4 linked regions of the Xenopus tropicalis genome follow. The protein of the gene in region 4 interacts with the protein of the main gene of each other region in a pairwise test. Links are inferred from orthologs where the notes say so. Each region holds a gene or a part of one and is shown on either strand. Other genes may lie near its edges.

Evidence for each region.
Region 1: the proteins of nif3l1 (region 4) and cdkn2c interact in binary tests that used the Homo sapiens proteins (3 or more experiments, as listed by UniProt). The two-hybrid records come from large-scale screens. The link is inferred for Xenopus tropicalis from reciprocal best matches to the Homo sapiens genes NIF3L1 and CDKN2C.
Region 2: the proteins of nif3l1 (region 4) and sat1 interact in binary tests that used the Homo sapiens proteins (3 or more experiments, as listed by UniProt). The two-hybrid records come from large-scale screens. The link is inferred for Xenopus tropicalis from reciprocal best matches to the Homo sapiens genes NIF3L1 and SAT1.
Region 3: the proteins of nif3l1 (region 4) and dmc1 interact in binary tests that used the Homo sapiens proteins (3 or more experiments, as listed by UniProt). The two-hybrid records come from large-scale screens. The link is inferred for Xenopus tropicalis from reciprocal best matches to the Homo sapiens genes NIF3L1 and DMC1.

What each region holds. Positions count from the first base shown.
Region 1 is NC_030680.2:96,077,303-96,082,489, reverse strand, and holds the start of cdkn2c (cyclin-dependent kinase 4 inhibitor C), read right to left. Parts: upstream 3,470-5,187; 5' UTR 3,038-3,469; coding exon 2,909-3,037; intron 1-2,908. UniProt on the Homo sapiens protein: Interacts strongly with CDK6, weakly with CDK4. Inhibits cell growth and proliferation with a correlated dependence on endogenous retinoblastoma protein RB.
Region 2 is NC_030678.2:43,097,880-43,102,909, reverse strand, and holds the start of sat1 (diamine acetyltransferase 1), read right to left. Parts: upstream 3,547-5,030; 5' UTR 3,384-3,546; coding exon 3,318-3,383; intron 2,717-3,317; coding exon 2,665-2,716; intron 2,446-2,664; coding exon 2,362-2,445; intron 1,286-2,361; coding exon 1,184-1,285; intron 1-1,183. UniProt on the Homo sapiens protein: Enzyme which catalyzes the acetylation of polyamines. Substrate specificity: norspermidine = spermidine >> spermine > N(1)-acetylspermine. This highly regulated enzyme allows a fine attenuation of the intracellular concentration of polyamines.
Region 3 is NC_030680.2:120,485,277-120,490,268, reverse strand, and holds the start of dmc1 (meiotic recombination protein DMC1/LIM15 homolog), read right to left. Parts: upstream 3,287-4,992; 5' UTR 3,205-3,286; intron 2,182-3,204; exon of another isoform or gene 1,773-2,181; intron 882-1,772; 5' UTR 858-881; coding exon 804-857; intron 1-803. UniProt on the Homo sapiens protein: Participates in meiotic recombination, specifically in homologous strand assimilation, which is required for the resolution of meiotic double-strand breaks.
Region 4 is NC_030685.2:7,985,639-7,990,674, reverse strand, and holds the start of nif3l1 (NIF3-like protein 1), read left to right. Parts: upstream 1-1,726; 5' UTR 1,727-1,826; exon of another isoform or gene 1,827-1,902; intron 1,903-1,915; exon of another isoform or gene 1,916-2,014; intron 2,015-4,747; 5' UTR 4,748-4,768; coding exon 4,769-5,036. Other genes in the region: ppil3 (peptidyl-prolyl cis-trans isomerase-like 3), read right to left, coding at 186-279, 558-632, 714-716. UniProt on the Homo sapiens protein: May function as a transcriptional corepressor through its interaction with COPS2, negatively regulating the expression of genes involved in neuronal differentiation.

The sequences.
Region 1 (5,187 bases), on a different chromosome or scaffold from region 4:
GTAAGCAGATTAGAATGACGTTTTCTTTCATTATGCAAAATATTTTTTGGGGTGAAATAAAAACATACCCATAGTTTTCTTTTTAAAAATACAATATATCTGTGTGTGTGTATATATATATATATATATATATATATATACACACACATACATACATACATACATACACACAGTTTTATGATATATGTTAAAGAGGTATGAGTCTATCGAGGTACATACACAGATAACGAAAAAATACACATAAAAATATGACTATATGAATATAGCTATATGATAGCTACACACACACACATTATTAATATATAGCTACACAGATACAGCTACACACACACACATATATTTATTATACATACATGGGATAGTTACTATAGTGGCCTTCATATTGGCCTTAAACAATACCAGCTGGATACAGTGTCATAAAATGTAAACGACAACACTGCTGGCAATCACATAAAAACAAATTGACTCTCATCAGAATTAATGAATGCAGGTACCATTAACCTTAGTGTGGCATAAAATGGCATCACTCCAGATAGAAATATGGCTACAGCTATATTGATACGCTTATAGTACATGTGTGCCCAGGCTAGAGTATGAGAGCAGGGTGTGCCTGCATATACAGGGGATTAGGAAGGATTATTAAAGATACAAGAAGACTACAGGCACTTTACATTGTACAATGCAATCTGCTTCCAATCGTATTAAACCATGGCAAGGCTGTCGATCAAACAGGCCACTGGCAGTTCGGTAAACGTACTCTTTTTTTCAGGACTTCAGGAAATATCATTTTAAATGTGTAATTTAACAATTGTTAGGAAAATGCAAACCTGAAAATATCAGCACAATTGCTCTTTAAATCTGTACACTGTGGACGATTTAGCGCAGTTGTTTTTAGGCAGAGCAGCAACTGATTGCAGTGGAGTGGGGTGCTTCTAAAGTTTTATATGGAAGCATATAGATACATATAAATATACATACATAAAAATACCATTGTTCATACAGTTCGTTTAAAACTACTCAACACGGCAGGGCTATAAATAAGTAGGTTTACGTCTACCTTATAACTGTCAGCTTTAATATTCAATAAGAGCACAAGGTTATTATCATCGGGCTAAACTATGCATTTACTGTAACCTCGATAAAAGAATACATTCATATTTAAGCCTATTATTTATTTAGCCAAAGGAAAGGAAACCGGTTATTATTATTTGGAAAAAATCTGCCTGTTTGCTAAACGTTTCAAGCGATCCAGATGACTAAAATACAGAATAACACACACAGTGGTGATTCTCTAGTTAAGAAATGAAGAATGATTTTCGTTCTGTGTAAAATGAAGCTCTACTCGAGATTACACACACTTTGATCTGGGGTCTGTCAGACAGGTTGCTTGCTCAGAAAGGGACTGCTCACAACCATTTGTGGTTAGATTGGGTTAGATTGCATCGAGAGGGACAGTGAGAGGGGACACAGCCTGGGGTAGGGGTCAAACACAAAGCTACAGCCTTGCTCGACTTCATACACTGTTCCAGTGCTGGGCCTGACACACACACAGGGGCTCTGTGTTTATAAGACAGGCCAGTGCCACCTTCACATACTGCACTGTCTGAGGTGAGGCCTGCGCTAAGGCAAACTGCTCCGAGGGCATCTTTCACTAGGAGAACCGGCAAGGACTTGGGGTGAAATGATTAATTACATGTATCAACCGTGTTGTAAATGCTGTTTCAGAACAAACCCTACTCTGCCCTGGTTCTCCCCACTAGCTCTTTTAGAAAGACGGAATGTTACAAGTACCTATGGGGGATATTATTTATGCAATTTAAGTTTTAATTCGGAGGATAATTGGAAATGAATAGATCATTAGTCATCAGTTGCCATTTGGCATGTAACGAATGGATACTGACTTGTGTATAAAGCTGTTTAATGTGTTGAGTTCGCCTACACTAAATGAAATATAACTTTTAACAACGAGTTTGGGAGATCTGGGTGCTCGGTACCCATTCGTACCCAGCCATACTTTGGGCTGTTTGTATAAAGAGTGGGGCTGGTAAAAAGAAAAAGCTTACGGATTTAGCTCATTATCAGTCTGGCGAATTAAAGGCACCGTTCCATCAGGCACATTAAATCTGAGATAAGTGATTTAATAGCAGGGGGAAGTTACAGTATATTTTATCAGTGAGTTGGAATAACGCAGTAAATGAGAGGCGCTTTTGGTTAATCATTGAGTAAGTTTATATTTTCTCTGAGATAAGCTCAGGTATAGCACCTTAATGCTCTCTCTGCCTGCCATCTCATGTGTAGCCACCATCTCTTTAGCACCCAGAATCTCCCACAAGGGTTAATAATAATAATAATAACTGCATATCCTTGCTCAAAAGGCAAATACAAACTGCTGAGTGGAAGCCTCTATGGCAACCAAAGTGTTAATGAACATCCCGAGCAGTCTGAGCCCACACAGCCCATGTGCCCTAAGGCACGCTACGGTATGGGGGTCTGTGGGAGCCATGCTTATTAGCCCGTCATTCCGACACTGAGCGGCTTATGTTGGAATGTTCCAGACACCGTACACAAAATGTAGGCTAAGTGCAGCACTGTACTGGAGCATCCCTAAGTTTGCAGCCAGCCAGGTAGGTGTGAAACTTTAGAGGGGCTGGGGCGCACACCGACCCGGGGGCTGCACTTGGGTGCTGGCTAACAGGCCCTATTGCCTCCTCCATCTAAAAGCTGCTTTTCAATAAGTTGGGCTAGAGGTGAGATACGGGTGGACTCCGGGCTGACTAAAATTAACCCTTTGTATCTGGGCCTGTAATGCACAGATGATTGGAGCTCTGGGCGATTTACAGGGCTGGGTAACATAGAGATTGTGCCCTATCTGTCATTATCACGCCCCTCTGTTCATGCTGGCACTCACCTGCAAAGCAGTCCTCCCAAATCTGTTGGGTGCATCCACATTTCGCGCCCCCTTCAGCAGGTCTTCTAATCTCTCCAATTCCCCCCGGGCAGCAGCCGTGGTTATTAGGTCCGCCATTGGATCTTCCATTCTCAACTGGGGTCCAGGATAGGGATACGGGGCTGGGCAGTGGGTTACTGGGGCAAGGCATGGACAGGCTGACAGCCGGGGATCTGAGCTAATAGGGTGATAGCTCGTAGTAAATACTCGTAAAAAAGTCAGTGCCAGGTCTCCGCCCCTAGCACACGTGATGAGCAGATACTCCTGCAGCTTCCACCTCTGCAGCAGTCTCTCCGCTCTGCCTCACTCCCCTGCCTCCCTCCGCTCTCCTCTCTCTCTCCCAGCTTTTTCCCACTGCCCACCGCTTCCCTCCTCTATCTCCCTGCCTCACTACTCTCCATGCCAGCCTTTCCCCACCGCTTCCCTCCTCTATCTCCCTGCCTCACTACTCTCCATGCCAGCCTTTCCCCACCGCTTCCCTCCTCTATCTCCCTGCATTACTACTCTCCATGCCAGCCTTTCCCCACCGCTTCCCTCCTCTATCTCCCTGCCTCACTACTCTCCATGCCAGCCTTTCCCCACCGCTTCCCTCCTCTATCTCCCTGCCTCACTACTCTCCATGCCAGCCTTTCCCCACCGCTTCCCTCCTCTATCTCCCTGCCTCACTACTCTCCATGCCAGCCTTTCCCCACTACCCACCGCTATCTTCCTGCCTCACTACTCTCCATGCCAGCCTTTCCCCACCGCTTCCCTCCTCTATCTCCCTGCCTCACTACTCTCCATGCCAGCCTTTCCCCACTACCCACCGCTATCTTCCTGCCTCACTACTCTCCATGCCAGCCTTTCCCCACTACCCACCGCTATCTTCCTGCCTCACTACTCTCCATGCCAGCCTTTCCCCACCGCTTCCCTCCTCTATCTCCCTGCCTCACTACTCTCCATGCCAGCCTTTCCCCACCGCTCTATCCTCTATCTTCCTGCCTCTCCAATCTCCCTGCCTCACTACTCTCCATGCCAGCCTTTCCCCACTACCCAGCGCTTCCCTCCTCTATCTTGCAGCCTTACAACCCTTTTCCTTCCAGCCTCTCCCCACTACCACCGCTTGCTTGCTCTCTCTACCGAACTCGCTACTCTCTCCCTACAGACCTCACTACTCTCCTCACTACTTGCCTCCTCTCTCACCCCGCCATCCTTTCATCATTACTAAAGTTTCCTCCTCTGTATCCATGTCACAGCTTCCTCCTATTCTCTTTCTGATTTGTGTAGTGCAGCACTGTCCTTTTTCTAGTTTTAGTCTCACCATCGGTCTTATATGTTCTTTCTCCCATGTCTACTCTTGTCACCCCTCAGTCCCTGCACCAACCTACTGCACCCACTATTCATCAGCTCTAGTCGGGCACCTTTACTTTTCCTATCCCCCAGATTTACTCCTTCCTTTAGGGCCCCCAACATATTCTCACTGCTCCTGCAGATCTGCAGCCTCGGTCAGGACTCGCACCCCATTTCTCTCCTCGCAAGCTTCTGTCCTAACAGTCTTCCTTTCCTACCACACGGTGTCACTTCTCTCCGGCAGCCCTCCTTCCCATCTTCCCTCTCGTACAGCAGAGCATGCCCCTGCCCCTACCAGACAGCCTGCTCAGACCGGCGTTCCCTTCCATCATGACTCCTTCTCCCTGTAGCCTTTGGCACGGCCGCCCGATGTCTGCTGGAGAAAAGGAACCCCAATGTCTCATCCCAGTGCCACTGAATATACAGAAGAATCGGAATCATGGGAAGTGGCGTCACCTGAACATGTATAACAATCCAGCAGACTGCTCGCTAGGGCACAAGAGTTCGGAACCCAGCGCTGGCGGCACAGCGGATTAGGCCTAACGGTTCTCCCAGTGAGTGTGCAGTTCGGGATCCTCAGTTGAATTGCCCACAGTCAAGCCTTCATAAAAATTGTCATGGAGAAAGCGCAAAGTACAAGTCCAAAGATCGGCTCCCAGGCAAGCTCAGGCGCCCCAGAAAGTGCATCGGAGAAAGGTTCAGCCTCAGTCAGTGACTTGGTTTCCGAATGGGCAGCACTCCAGCCCCGCACACCGGCACAGCCCCGCACACCGGCACAGCCCCGCACACCGGCACAGCCCCGCATAGCACTGCACTAGAGGATATGGCGCAGCCCCACAAACTAGTGAAGAATGAAATATTTTACAAATCAGTGCTCAAGTCTTCACTGGACCATATGCGCCTGAACCTCA
Region 2 (5,030 bases), on a different chromosome or scaffold from region 4:
CCAGTGTCGGACTGACCCACCAGGATACCAGGAAAACTCCCGGTGGGCCCAGGGGTCAGTGGGCCCTCCTGCTCCTGATCATTTGCCTGTTTCATGGTCATTCCCTATTTCTGAATGGAAAGAAAGAGGAGAAATAGATGGAAGAATAGATGCTAGCATTAAGGAGAATAAAGTGGTTGAGTAAATAAAGGAGGAAAAATTGTTCCGAGAGTGGGCCCATGGTCTAAGGGTTTCTGGTGGCCCCTGGGGTCCCAGTCCGACACTGTGAATCTAAAGTTTCTAAACCAGTTATCCAGAAAGCTTTCAGTTGCAAGGAAGGCCATGCTCCCCAGAGTCCTTTTTAAGCAATTCAAATTACTTGTTGGCAATTATGACACATGAATAAAATATATATATATATATATATGTGGCCAAACAATCTTTTTACATTTAAATATAAGTAGAAGATGCCTTCCATGATCCATTAGAAGGGATACAGAATCTGGACTCAAACCTTACATGAGTACAAAGAGGTTTATTCTGTACATGCTTTCTAAAAGGTTTGTTTCCAAATGGGCACAAACTTTAATGTGAAATTCTAGTTAAAAAAAAAAAAACCACAACCAACCACACACAAGGCCCTATGCATTCCAAATAATAGATTCCATCATTGTACTTTACAGAACAGCTGAATTCGCCAGGGGTTTCAGTATTAGGCACATCTCCCACAAATCAATTAAATCTAAGTTTCTTAAGCAGTGCCAACATCTTACATGTAGTTCCCAGGCACCCCCAAGCACAATTAGGAAAATGTTAGTATACTGTGCAAGTCCATGTCTATTGAGGGATCTCTGGGAACCACAGGTAAGATGGTGGCACAGCACAGCCACTTGTTAACTGCCGATATACAAGAGCCTTTGTACGCACACAATATGCTAGACCTTCAATTTAAAATTATGGAAACACTACTCACATGTATTTTTTTTTTTAAGCTTTGTTTTTATTTTCATATCAAACATTACAACATTTGTAGTGATATTATGTTACATTTATGTATTTTATACTCTACTTACAACATTTGAATTTAACGTATAAAAAAAAAAAAATGTGAACTTTTAGCTCATACCTGTTCGTCCAGGGCCTTGTGCATACATGTATTTTTAAAAATCCATCCACACACTGAGGCCTAATACATATGACCTACCTCTGAACTCATCCATCACAAAGAAGTCTTCAAGATAAAGCAATTTTCCAATCCACGGGTCATAGGTGAAGTAGTACATTGCAAACCCAACAATGGTGTATCCTATAAACAAAGAAGAGATCAAATGAGTCCTGAAATTAAAAAAAAAAAATCGTGTACAAGGAGAAAAAAAACAAAAACACAAAAACAAAAGTAATTACAACCACAAGTCAGGAATATTTCACAGTTGTTTGACTAGAACTCCCAGAATGGTGAGGAGAGTTAGAGTACAACTGTTAGCCGTCCACAGGTTGTTGTACTTGACTGCTTCACATCACAACCTTGAAAGCAAGTTATTTTTCCAGTCTGAGTGCTGCTAAAGCATTGTCATTGCATTTGAGCAAATAGCATGTTCTACTTTTAACCAGCATAGCGGAGCACTTGTATTAACATAATACATTCCTTTTACACGGCAGTTCAGAAGATTATGAAAGCCCCCCCCCCCAGATGTACAAATGGGAACCAGAGATGCAACAGATCAAGCACTATGGTTTTCCCCAATTTGTAGCACATGGAAAACAAGGAATCAATACAGGCAACCCATCATGCTGATCACCGATTCCTCAATACTAAAATACAAAAATAAATCTGTACTAGAAATCACAACAGTTCAATCGCACAAGGAGGGCAGGAGTTACCAAAAACATCAGGTTTAGTATTAGAAATGGTCATAATCAGCCAAGAACTTAACTGGAAAGACACTGTTGGAGAATTTAAGTCCGTATTGCTTGATTTAGGTTTCCAGGGAGGGGTGTGGGGGGAAAAAAAAAAAAAAAAAAAAGTGGGGTAAAATAAAATCCATTGAACAATGGAGAATCTTCCGTGAAGACTCAGTAGCAGAGCATGGATTTCTGATCTACCGTGTTTGCTGCTTTAACGTGTCAGCGATTGCCCGTTTGCCTTACCTCGTTTCATGATCATCTACTTTATTGTGTAACGGATCTTTTAGTTACCTCCCCGCCCACCCATGTACACGGAAGGGCCATCCATGTACATGGCGAAGCTAGAGACTGTAACCTGAAGATTGGGACAAATTAAAGAGAAAATAGGATTTAACAAAGTTTGCATCTGCGCACATTAGGGTCAAAACAAATGCCTCAGATTCTGGGAAATGGGGCAAGAGGGAAAGTAAAAATTACCATCAGCACTCTGGGTCTCCTTAGGCACTTCAGCAACAAGACAGTGGTAAAATGGATGTTCTCCAAATCCATCTTCAAGCAGATCTGTACAGAAGAAAAATCAAATGGTGTAGGAGTGAGTAGGAGACAAAAAAATGCACTCCCCAATGTATGTGTGCTTAGCAGCAAATGCTCATGGGAGCAGCTTGGCAGGCAGCCCAGGACACAGAGCAACACAAACTAAATATCAATTGTTTAGATAAAAGAAATTGTGCTTCCGAGACAAGTTTGGCAGAGATACACACCCTCTACGATTCCACTTACCTTTCTCAGTTAGTACTACTTGGTTCTCCATATCTTCATATTTTGCCAGTTCCTATAAGACAGGAAGATTACATCATTGAGTAAAAAGGGGACATTGTGTAACAGGAGCAGTACAGCAATACAGTTCTACAACTGCCTACAGTAGCAGATTAGCACTCAAAGGGGTACTAAAAAGCAGAACAGAATATTCCCAACATCATACTGAAATCCCATTCCCTCATCTCCTACCTCCCTTGTGGGTAACCACAACCCCCAAGCCAAGTTACAGGTTAAGTTGGGACAAACTAACCCAGCAGTGCCAGAAAGCCACACAAGTGACCGTTACATATAAAGGTCCTAGTTTGAAACTTTAAAGGAGAACTGTACAAATGTAAGTACAACAGTGAATGCTAAAGGCTTTCAGGGAATTCTTGTAGTTCCCTACACCCAGGGTCAAAAGCTCTTGACTCAAAATGAGTGAAAGGGCAGTTTGCTACAGATCTTGTCACCTACAGCAGCCAATCAGCACAATGCATTTACGATTCACCTGTTTAAAAGCAAACTGATTGGTTACTATGGGTTACACCACCTGGTCGAACTTAGTACCTTCCATTACAGGTGAGAAAAATAGCGAAACCTCAAAGTAAAATCGCAGCTACGTTACAGCAATGCACCTTTATGAGTCGCAAGATATCTTTACAGTCCCCGGCATTAGCAGATCGTATGATAAATTTGGCCATTTTCTTCTCTTGCTCTTTTTGCCTTTTCTGACAAGTCCTCTGTATGTGAAGAGTAGTAGGAGGTGTTTCTTCATTCGCTTCCCAGGAGTTTCCTCTCCTTAGTCAGTCTGGGACCCTGACCCGGCAGAGCTCACTCACTGCAGCCACCGTGATAAGAAAACTTCGACGACGAAGTGCAAGCGCGGAACCGAGAGCAGGGTATTTATTATGGGAGGGAGCTCCGCCCTCTCCGCACTTCCGCCAAACAATTACACTTGTATAAGCGGGGCTGAATGGCCACGGCCCATTACGTATGAGGTGATGATTCCCAGAAATGACTCACTAGAAGTTTAGCAGGGTTTTTAGAGTGGAGCTGCCACTTAGTGGCCATTATGTTAAACTACAACAACACAATGTTCGGTGTACTTTTTGGAAAGATTAGTACAGGTATAGGACCCGTTGTCCAGAATACTCTTGACCAGGGCCGCCATCAGAAATCACGGGGCCCCTCACAAAAAAAATTTCTGGGCCCCCCTCCCACAAATACAAAGGACTCACAGATATGAGACATTGGTAGCCAGCAGGCCCCCCCCCCCTAGTACATTGGTAGCCAGCAGGGCCCCCCAGTACATTGGTAGCCAGCAGGGCCCCCCTAGTATATTGGTAGCCAGCAGTGCCCCCCATAGTACATTGGTAGCCAGCAGGGCCCCCCTAGTACATTGGTAGCCAGCAGGGCCCCCCCTAGTACATTGGTAGCCAGCAGGCCCCCCCCTAGTACATTGGTAGCCAGCAGGGTCCCCCTAGTACATTGGTAGCCAGCAGGGCCCCCCTAGTACATTGGTAGCCAGCAGGGCCCCCCTAATACATTGGTAGCCAGCAGGGACCCCCCTAATACATTGGTAGCCAGCAGGGCCCCCCTAATACATTGGTAGCCAGCAGTGCCCCCCAGTACATTGGTAGCCAGCAAACCCCCCTAGTACATTGGTAGCCAGCAGGGCCCCCCCCTAATACATTGGTAGCCAGCAAACCCCGCTAGTACATTGGTAGCCAGCAAACCCCCCTAGTACATTGGTAGCCAGCAAACCCCCCTAGTACATTGGTAGCCAGCACAGCACAATCCTCCGGCGACGGCTCCGGCGACGGCTCCTCCGGCGAGGTCCTTCGTTCCCAACAGCACTGCACTTCTGAGTGCCGAACGACGCCAGGCCCTTTTATAAGGTTGCTCCCCGTGCGTACTGACCACCAATGACAGGGGCCCGGAATAGATTAAAGGGGGCCCCAGCTAAGAAAACTGTAGCAGCGCCGGGCCCCCTTTTAAAGTTAAAATCGTCCGGGCCCGGGACGGCTGTACCCCCTGTACCCCCCTGATGGCGGCCCTGCTCTTGACCAAGGGTATTCTGGATAACGGGTCTTTTCTTAATTTGGATCTCCATACCTTAAGTCTACTTAAAATCAATAAAACATTAATTAAACCCAATAGGATTGTTTTGCCCCCAATAAGGATTATTTCTATCTTAGTTGGGATCAAGTACAAGGTACTGTTTTCTTATTCCAGAGAAAAAGGAAATCAGTTTTAAAATTCTGAATTATTTGATTAAAATTGAGTCTATGGGAGATGTGGTTTCCGTAATTCGGAGCTTTCTGGATAATGGGTTTCCGGATAAGGGA
Region 3 (4,992 bases), on a different chromosome or scaffold from region 4:
ATTATTTTCAGTTCCATCTCTTAAATATGCCACATAAAAATGACTATAAGAAAAGCAAGGAGTATGCAGGTTAGTTATGGCTATAATAATTAGAGATGCACTGAATCCAGGATTCCTTTTTAGGCACGGTTCGCTTTCGGCTGAATCCATGGCCCTGGCGGAACCGAATCCAAAACCTAATTAGCATATGCTAATTAGCATTCAAAGGGTTAAATGTTAGGTGGGGGGGAAATTTCACTGCGTGCAAATTCGGATTCAGTTAGCACTGCTGCTTTCAGGTGTTTTACATTCAAATCAGTAGGAGGAATTTAGGCTAATACCAGACAAGGCGTAGGGCAGATATTTTCGGCAAGCGGTAAAGCGATTGCTGAAAATTCTGCCCTACGCCTCCTACTTGTGCCTGCACCTGAATGAATGAGATACGCTCGGGTGCAGGCACAAGTAGCGTAAATACGCATAAAAACGCAAGACTTTGCATTATCTCGCGTTTTCATGCGTATATTGGCTACATGTGCCTGCACCCGAGCGTATCTCATTCATTCAGGTGCAAAAAATATCTGCCCTACGCCTCATCTGGCTTTAGCCTAAGGGGGTAATTTTAGCTGCTAGGAAAATGCCTCTGAAACTTGCCCCATATGCCAAAAGCCTTCACACTGCTTGTGGTACTTGTGGTAAATGTCCCATAACAGGACTACTGGTTGAAAGATTTGTACACTATATGAAAACTAGAATGTAAAGTAAAATAAATATTTTTTGGTCCTTTTAGATTGTATAATTTAACTTATTCATCTTATTTTGTGTACCTCATCATGAAATCCTACGTCTTCTTCAACAACCTGATCCTCCATTGATTTCATGACAGCAGTTAATGATTCTGCCACCTAAAGAAAAAACATTTTTCATGCAAAGCACTGTATGAAGTAGACAATTTAGTATTGTAATGAACTAGTATTAATGCACTATTAATGTAGTTTGCAACTTCTTGTAAGGTACATACACATGAGCTCTAAATGGATGTAATGCTGTTCTTCTCCTGGCATTCACAGCACATATGCATGTAGAAATGTGTATGTGTGTAACTATGCACATCTATGTATGCATCTATACTATCTGGGACATAAATAATTCCTATAGATTTTTATCCAAAATATTGGTATCTTGGATTTCCTATTGAAACACTTCTGGAGCTTACTGAATGTAAAAAATGTAAACAAAAAATAGTACAGGTATGGAATCCCTTATCCGGAAACACGTTATCCAGAAAGCTCTGAATTACGGAAAGCCCGTCTCCCATAGACTCCATTTTAATCAATTATTTCCGAATTTTGAAACTGATTTCTTTTTTCTTTTTAGTAATAAAACAGTACCTTGTAACGGGTCCCAACTAAGCTATAAAGAATCCTTATTGGATGCAAAACAATCATATTGGGTTTAATTAATGTTTTATTGATTTTTTTAATAGCCTTAACGTATGGAGATCCAAATTACGGAAAAAACCCATATCCAGAATACCATTGGTTCCGAGCATTCTGGATAATGGGTCCTATACCTGTACTTTTTTTTTTTTTTTTTTTTTACATCTGCTTGGCTTTATGTTGCCATAGATACAGTGGCTTAACTATGGGGCATGGGCCCAGGTGCAAAAGTTGCTATATGTGACTTTGACTCCCTTGTAAAACACACTTTCACTGTCTTATTTTTAATTTATTTCTAAATGTCACAATTTAATTTTCTTAAAATGTTAATAACTCAGCCCATCCAAACATGATTACCTGGAGATTCTGACCCTCCCCAAACACAGGATCACAGGAACTCACTCAGGGCATTCTGAGGGCAATAGAATATGAATGATTTGCCAGGTTAGAGGCAGAAGGCTAAACAGTTGAAATCAACGCCCCATTTACTAATATGGTTCTGTCCTGCACCTTGGTGGACCTTGATGGACAGGTGAACCTTGATGTTTCCAAGCAATAATTACCTGACAGGGGTGCTCCAGCATTTACATATTTAATGAATATCCTGAGAATCCTGAATTTCTCTATAATCAATCATATGATTTTAAAACATTTGCATAAAATGTCCAGTGCTTGAAATTGCCAGTGGAAAATTGATTTATTCCCATTTATTAATGTACTCTACATAATGTATTTATAATCTCTCTCTGCAGGAAAACGACTTAAGGTGCCCATACACAGATCCGCTTGCTTGGCGATGTCGCCAAGCGAGCGGATCTTCACCCGATATCCCCACCTACGGGTGGGCGATATCGGGTAGCAAGTAACTTAAAAAAAAAATTATCCGAATTGGATTACATTTGTGGTTATGGGGCAGTCGGTTTGGGGACCGCATCAACGAGCCGATGCGGTCCCCGATCTGACTGGATTTTCTAACCTGGCCGATCGAGATCTGGCCAATTTCAGGCAAGATATCAGTCGTATCGGTCGAATCGGCAGCTATAGTCGGCCCGTGTATGGGGACCTTTAGACTAAAAATCCAATAGGTAAGTTAGATCACACCAATCAGTATAAATGTTGCCAATTAAATAATAGGCCATAGGATACCATGTAATATATAAACATGGCATAGTTTTGATATAAAAAAAAAACATGTACACAACAGCTGAGCTTTCAGGAGGGGACAAGTAGGTAAAAGTATCAAAAGTAATACATCTGCATTAGGGAGAAAAAAATCCTGTGTCATTTGAAGGAGACATTTGATTCCTTACACAGTAGTGGTGCTGGGAGCTCTTGTAGATGTGCAGGCATAGGTGAAGCGTGATTTTTTGGTTTGTGGGGCTTATTACAGCTATATACTATATACTGTTTGTTTCACAGTCAAATGGTGCAGGAATTAATTGAAACACATACAATGTAGCGCCAGCCTAATACATAATGCCTCAGAATAGTTTCAATTCAATGTCAATGTAAATTGTATCCATGTGGTAACATAAAAAGATAAGGCTAGCTCTGTGTAAAATAGTCCAGAATACCTGGCAAACCTGGTGCCCTAGAACCTATGGCTGGATAGATACAGTGCCAATTCTACTGATTATACCTCACAACACACAGGAAAATATATAGAGCGCAGGTTCTGTCAGTGTGCATGGGCTGTGCTTCATCAGACACTCATACTCAGTCAAGTACACAAACATTAGAAGATTACAAATCAGGAGCTTTCACTGATAATGAACCAAATCACAAGTACCTTATTCCAAACCTGCTGTTTGCAGATATTGCTTGTCTTCCACTCAGTTTAAGTCCTGGTACAGCATTACAGGGATTGGATAAGCTGCAGGGTGAATCCTTCCAGCCTATCCAATCTGTGTTCAGCTGTACCGGGACTTACACTGAGATCAAAACAGCAGTATCTACATACCTACAGACAGCAGACTTGAAATAGTGAATCAGTTCAGGACAATTTGTGGATGCCCATGCCTCGGATCCTGACTGAGGAGGTTACAAGTATAAGTTTCCCGCCAAAAAGACAGAAGCATCACTTCAGCAAATTAACCGGGTCATGTGACCTGTCTCTAGTCCCTCTAGTGGAAGCACAGTTTACCAACCTAATACTTCAGCCATCACAGGACTTGCTAGTTTAGGATGGTGAGTTTTAGATGTTTGATGAGAGGTTCACTGCTTTTTTCTGTTTATGAACTTCAGTACCCAGCATCTTGCCTTTGTTACTGCTGGGAAGCTGCATATCACCTCAGGAGAAGATGCAAAACTAATTTATAGGGGGACCTACGGTACTTTGTGCACTTAACATACTTAATTATTTGAAGGATTTTTCAGACATTAAAAATATAGGTATGTGACCTGTTATCCAGAATGCTGGGGACCCATGGTTTTCCAGATAAGGAATCTTTCTGTAATTTGGATCTCCATACTTTAAGGGGCACATTTACTACCCCACGAACGGGCCGAATGCGTCCGATTGCGGTTTTTTCGTAATGATCAGTATTTTGCGATTTTTCGGAAAATTGTTGCGACTTTTTCGTAGCCATTCCAAAAGTTGCGCAAAATGTTGCGATTTTTTCGTAGCGTTAAAACTTGTGCTAAAAGTCGCGACTTTTTACGAGCGAATCGTAATGGCTACGAAAAACTCACGTTTTTTCGCACAAGTCGTAATGGTTACGAAAAAGTCACGACAATTTCCGAAAAGTCGTAAAGGCGACGAAAAAATACGAAAAAGTCGCAAAATTTTCGTTTTCCAATCGGAATTTTTCCAATTCGGATTCGTGGGTTAGTAAATGTGCCCCTAAGTCTACTAAAAAATCATTTAAGCATTAATTAAACCAAATACAATTATCTCCAGTAAGGATCAATTATTAGTTGAGATAAAATACAAGGTACTGTTTTATTATTATAGAGAAAAAGGAAACCATATTTCAAAATTAGAATTATTTGCTTATAATGGAGTCTATGGGAGATGGTCTTCCTGTAATTTGGAACTTTTTAGATAACGGGTTTCTGGATAATGGTTAAAATGTAATCCTTATTTCCAGGAACAAATAATTCAGGGGTTGCCAAAGGATATTGTGCTCTACTAGCTGATCCTAATACCTTAAATAAGATTTAAGAAATGTCTGTTCAGACAACATTAAAACTTTTCTTTCACCACGTTGCAATAAAGTTCAGCTTTCCATGGCAGCATAATACCTGAGGTGGCTAATGTTTTTTGTGGAAGTGGGTGCAGGTGCATTGTGGGAGAGGAAGTACTAGTACATATGCCCTAAAATATTCCACTAAACATAACCATCCTCATTTATTAAAGATAAGGCAAAGTACAAAGAAGGTATGAAAAGCATCCAATTCTTCTGCATTCCCCCTATGTTGCAGGTTATTCATTCATATGCAAGTTAGAGGGCCCTGTATGGGGTTGTTAATTGATGCACCTTGGAGCTATGGCTCCATCAACAAATCAGTAAAAAATTTGGTGGCAGGTCACTGAAGGAAACTGTTCATTGCTCAAACGATGCATCAGGGGACTACT
Region 4 (5,036 bases):
CTCTGTATTCTGTGGGAACCTGTACTAAGAAAGAAACTGCAGCTAGAGATAAGGCCCAGCAGATAAACTATATGACTATACACTGTAGCTAAAGGCAAATACCTTGTGCCAAAGCTAATGAATTAACTGATAGAGATTTATAGGGTAGGAAGAAGCTGCTTGTAGAGCAGGAAGGGGTCTCTCACCTGTTGGATCCCCAGTCTGGACCATGAAGCCTTTGATGTTCCGGTGGAAGAGGCAGCCGGTGTAATAGTTACTGGCACAGAGAGCTAGAAAGTTCTACAGGGGACATAAAAAAGAAGCAATGTCATTGCACAGTTTAGGGCAGCGGTTCTCAGCCTGTGGGTCGGGACCCTTTTGGGGTAAAACGGCCCTTTCACAGGGGTCGCCTAAGGCCATTGGAAAACACATATTTCCGATGGGCTTAGGAATAATTTTATGGTTGGGGGTCACCACAACATGAGGAACTGTATTAAATGGTCATGGCATTAGGAAGGTTGAGAACCACTGGTTTAGGGGAGATGGGATCTAGGGGCTATATAAGCAAATCCTCTCACCTCACTGGCCTTCGGAGCTCTCTCACAAAACAGCTCAATTTTGATCTCCCCCAGATCCGTGTGAAGAGTCACAGACTGAGAGAGAGAAACAGAGCGTTACAGTCGGTCTCATTTTATAGAATAAGGGGGACATTAACCCCAGCCCTTGTATCTCACCATTCTGAGTCAGGTAAACCTCACACTGCTTGTTCTGATGGCGGCACAAGGATGGCGCTCACTGATCTGAAAGACAAAATATATAAGATTATCAGTAAGATGCTATCACATAAAGACAAGAGTTTAATACTTACATTTTTTGCACAAAAGCTAATTGTGGATATGGTTTCATATAGTTAAGCAATTTACACCCTATAGGTGGCAGGAAAGTATCAGAACTATAGTTTCTACATTTTTGGACTTCTTCTGCGCCAGTAATCTGGCAGCACATAGCAGGGACACATTTAAAGACAACCAACAAGCAAAAGGTTAGAATTGCTGTTTATCCCTGAGGAAATAGAGGCAGTCAGTGTGTACCAGGAAATACCTTCCCCCATAAAAGCTTTAGGGGATTAAAGCCAAATTCTCAAATCAAACCTGTCTAAAACTACAATAGGTGACATAGATTTGCACACTGTCCCCCACATATACAGCAACCAGGCTTTCCATTAGGAAAACACTGCCCCAGTGTATTGAAGCTTTGGTAAGAAACACACTAACCCAGTACAGACTAAACAGCATTACCTAACTGAAAACATATTATATTTCCCCATATAGACTATAGGAACCCACACTGAGTTGACTGATATCTTCCCTCCTTTTTTACCACAACTCACATTTCCCTCAGACGCTGGGTGTAGTAAGATGGCGACGATTCCACAGACCGAACGTATATACACTATTCATTGAACAAGGAGTAATAACATGGCAGCTTAACTCGCTTGTGTCATCAAAAGGCGGCACTTTCATTTTCTCCGTGGCGGCAAGATGACGTTCCTCACCGCTTCCCACGCCAAAGTGAAGTCATGTTATTTTTTGTGAGTACAAAGATGGCCGACGTCCTGAGCGTTAAATCATCATAGGACGAGACATCCGGTCTCTTGGGTGTAGCAAGATGGCCGACGTCCTGAGTGTTAAATGGTCCATAGGACGAAACATCCATTCTCTTGGGTGCAGCAAGATGGCCGACGTCCTGATTGTTAAATCGTCAAAGGACGAAACATCTGGTCTCTTGGGTGCAGTAAGATGGCCGCTGCCACGACACACGCTGAATGCATTTGAGTTTAACAGCAGGTCAGTGCCTGCAGTTATCAATATCTCCGCAGAGGTTTGCGGAGAGGGATAAGTAACGCTGGGAAGTCGGGCTGAGGTAATATAGGGGCGGTTCTTTAGTGGCGCTGAGTTTCTTCTATCCGCCAATTCACAGTGGTTCTCTGACCCTAAGATACAAGGTGCATAGTGCAAAGAATAGCAGCTTACAGGTATAGAACACATGCAAATAAATAAAATTGACTAATGTTACATAGTTACATAGGGTTGAAAAAAGACCAGTGTCCATCAAGTTCAACCCATCCAAGTAAACCCAGCACACCTAACCCACACCTACCAATCTATACACTCACATACATAAACTATAAATACAACCACTAGTACTAACTGTAGATATTAGTATCACAATAGCCTTGGATATTCTGATTGATCAAGAACTCATCCAGGCCCCTCTTAAAGGCATTAACAGAATCTGCCATTACCACATCACTAGGAAGGGCATTCCCCAACCTCACTGCCCTCACCGTGAGGAACTCCCTACGCTGCTTCAAATGGAAGCTCCTTTCCTCTAATCTAAAGGGGTGACCTCTGGTGCGTTGATTGTTTTTATGGGAAAAAAGAACATCCCCCAACTGCCTATAATCCCCTCTAATGTACTTGTACAGAGTAATCATGTCCCCTCGCAAGCGCCTCTTTTCCAGAGAAAACAACCCCAACCCTGACAGTCTAACCTCATAGTTTAACCCTTCCATCCCCTTTACCAGTTTAGTTGCAGTCTCTGCACTCTCTCCAGCTCATTAATATCCTTCTTAAGGACTGGAGCCCAAAACTGCACTGCATACTCAGGGTGAGGCCTTACCAGGGACCTATAAAGGGGCAAAATTATGTTCTCATCCCTTGAGTCAATGCCCTTTTTTATACAAGACAGCACTTTATTTGCTTTAGTAGCCACAGAATGACACTGCCTGGAATTAGACAACTTGTTATCTACAAAAAACCCCTAGATCCTTCTCCATTAAGGAAACCCCCAACACACTACCATTCAGTAGATAGTTTGCGTTTATATTATTTCTACCAAAGTGCATAACTTTGCACTTATCAACATTGAACCTCATTTTCCAGTTTGCTGCCCAGTTATCTAATTTTGTCAAATCGCTCTGCAAAGCGGCAGCATCCTGCATGGAACTTATAGTTTTGCACAATTTAGTGCATCAGCAAAAATAGAAACAGTACTGTCTATGCCCACCTCCAGGTCATTAATAAACAAGTTAAAAAGCAAAGGCCCAAGGACTGACCCCTGCGGTACCCACTAACCACACTGGTCCAATTAGAAAATGTTCCATTTACAACCACTCTTTGTACTCTATCCTTCAGCCAGTTCTCTATCCAATTACAAATATTATGTTCTAGGCCAATATTCCTTAATTTGATCATTAACCTTCTGTGAGGTACTGTATCAAACGCTTTAGCAAAGTCCAAGTAGATGACATCAACTGCCATTCCAGCATCAAGGTTCCTGCTCACCTCCTCATAAAAGGCGACTAAATTAGTCTGGCAAGATCTGTTACGCATAAAACCATGCTGGCACAAACTAATAGTATTGTGAACTGCAATGTATTCAAGTACCCTATCCCTTATTACCCCTTCCAAAAGTTTTCCTACTACTGATGTCAGACTAACAGGCCTATAGTTTTCAGGCTGAGAACGGTATCCCTTTTTAAATAACGGCACCACATTAGCAATCCGCCAGTCTCTTGGCACCATGCCAGACCTCAATGAATCCTGAAAAATTAAGTGAAGAGGCTTGGCAATCACAGCGCTCAGCTCATTTAATACCCTGGGATGAATCCCATCCGGCCCTGGACCTTTGTTTACCTTTACATGTTCAAGTCTCTTTTGAATTTCCTCCCGAGTGACCCATGCGTCAGTAGCTAAATTACTAGAACTGGGCATATTACAAGGGAAGCCTTCATTAGCTGGCTCCTCAGATGTATAGACAGATGAAAAATAAGAGTTCAAAATTTCAGCTTTTTCCCCATTCTCATCAACCAACTTACCCCCCCGTGATAATAAAGTTCCCACCCCTTCTTGCTTCATTTTTTTACTATTCACATAATTAAAAAATAATTTAGGATTCTTTTTACTCCTAGCTGCAATATCCCTTTCCATTTCTATTTTAGCTTGCTTGATAGCTTTTTTGCTGCTTTATTTGCTTCCTTGTACCTGATGAAAGTTTCTGCTGTCCCAGCTAACTTGAATGCCCTAAAAGCACGTTTTTTCTTACCAACCTCGACAATAACACTTTTATTCAGCCATAAAGGTTTTGCTTTGTTACTCAATTTTGTTCTTTATTACAATTTATCTTGGACAGTTTTTTTGCACCTTTGCAAATATAAAAAAAAAGTGCCTTTTGTGATTGTTGGTGAATACTCTTCCCATTGTTCTGCTGATCGGCTGCTGGGGGGGAGGGGGGGGATATCACTCCAACTTGCAGCGCAGCAGTAAAGTGTGCCTGAGTCTGAGCTTTCAGCCAGCGCTACACATTAGAACTGCTTTCAGCTAACCTATTGTTTCTCCTACTCCCATGTAACTGGAGGAGTCCCAAGCCGGACTTGGATTTCTTACTATTGAGTGCTATTCTGATACCTACTGGGAGCTGCTATCTTGCTCCCTTCCCATTGTTCTGCTGATCGGCTGCTGGGGGGGAGGGGAGGGGATATCACTCCAACTTGCAGCGCAGCAGTAAAGTGTGACTGAAGTTTATCAGCGCACAGGTCACGTGGCTGTGGCACCCTGGGAAATGAAGAATATGGCTAGGAGGATTCTGCTGGAGAAGCTCTATTAACTGACAGTATTCCTTAAACACTAACCACCCCCTACTATAGTCATTTCTGCCCTGTCTCTGTATGTCACAGCTTGATAACCAACTTTTCCTTTCCTCCCAGGTTCATTCCTGATTGTGCCGGATGTTGTTGGGTTTGGCCTTCAGACATTCGAATCATTTAGCCCATTGCAGTCGTTGGCACCCCGTCCGTAGCATCATGGATCTTGGCTCGGTGGTTTCCTGCCTGAATGTACTCACCCCCCCAGCTCTGGCAGAAGGTTGGGATAATGTGGGGCTTTTAGTGGAGCCCAGTCCCCCGCACCAGGTCCACAAGCTCCTCCTGACCAATGATCTGACAGAAGACGTGCTGGACGAGGCGATAGATACGGGCGCTAATATGATTCTGTCCT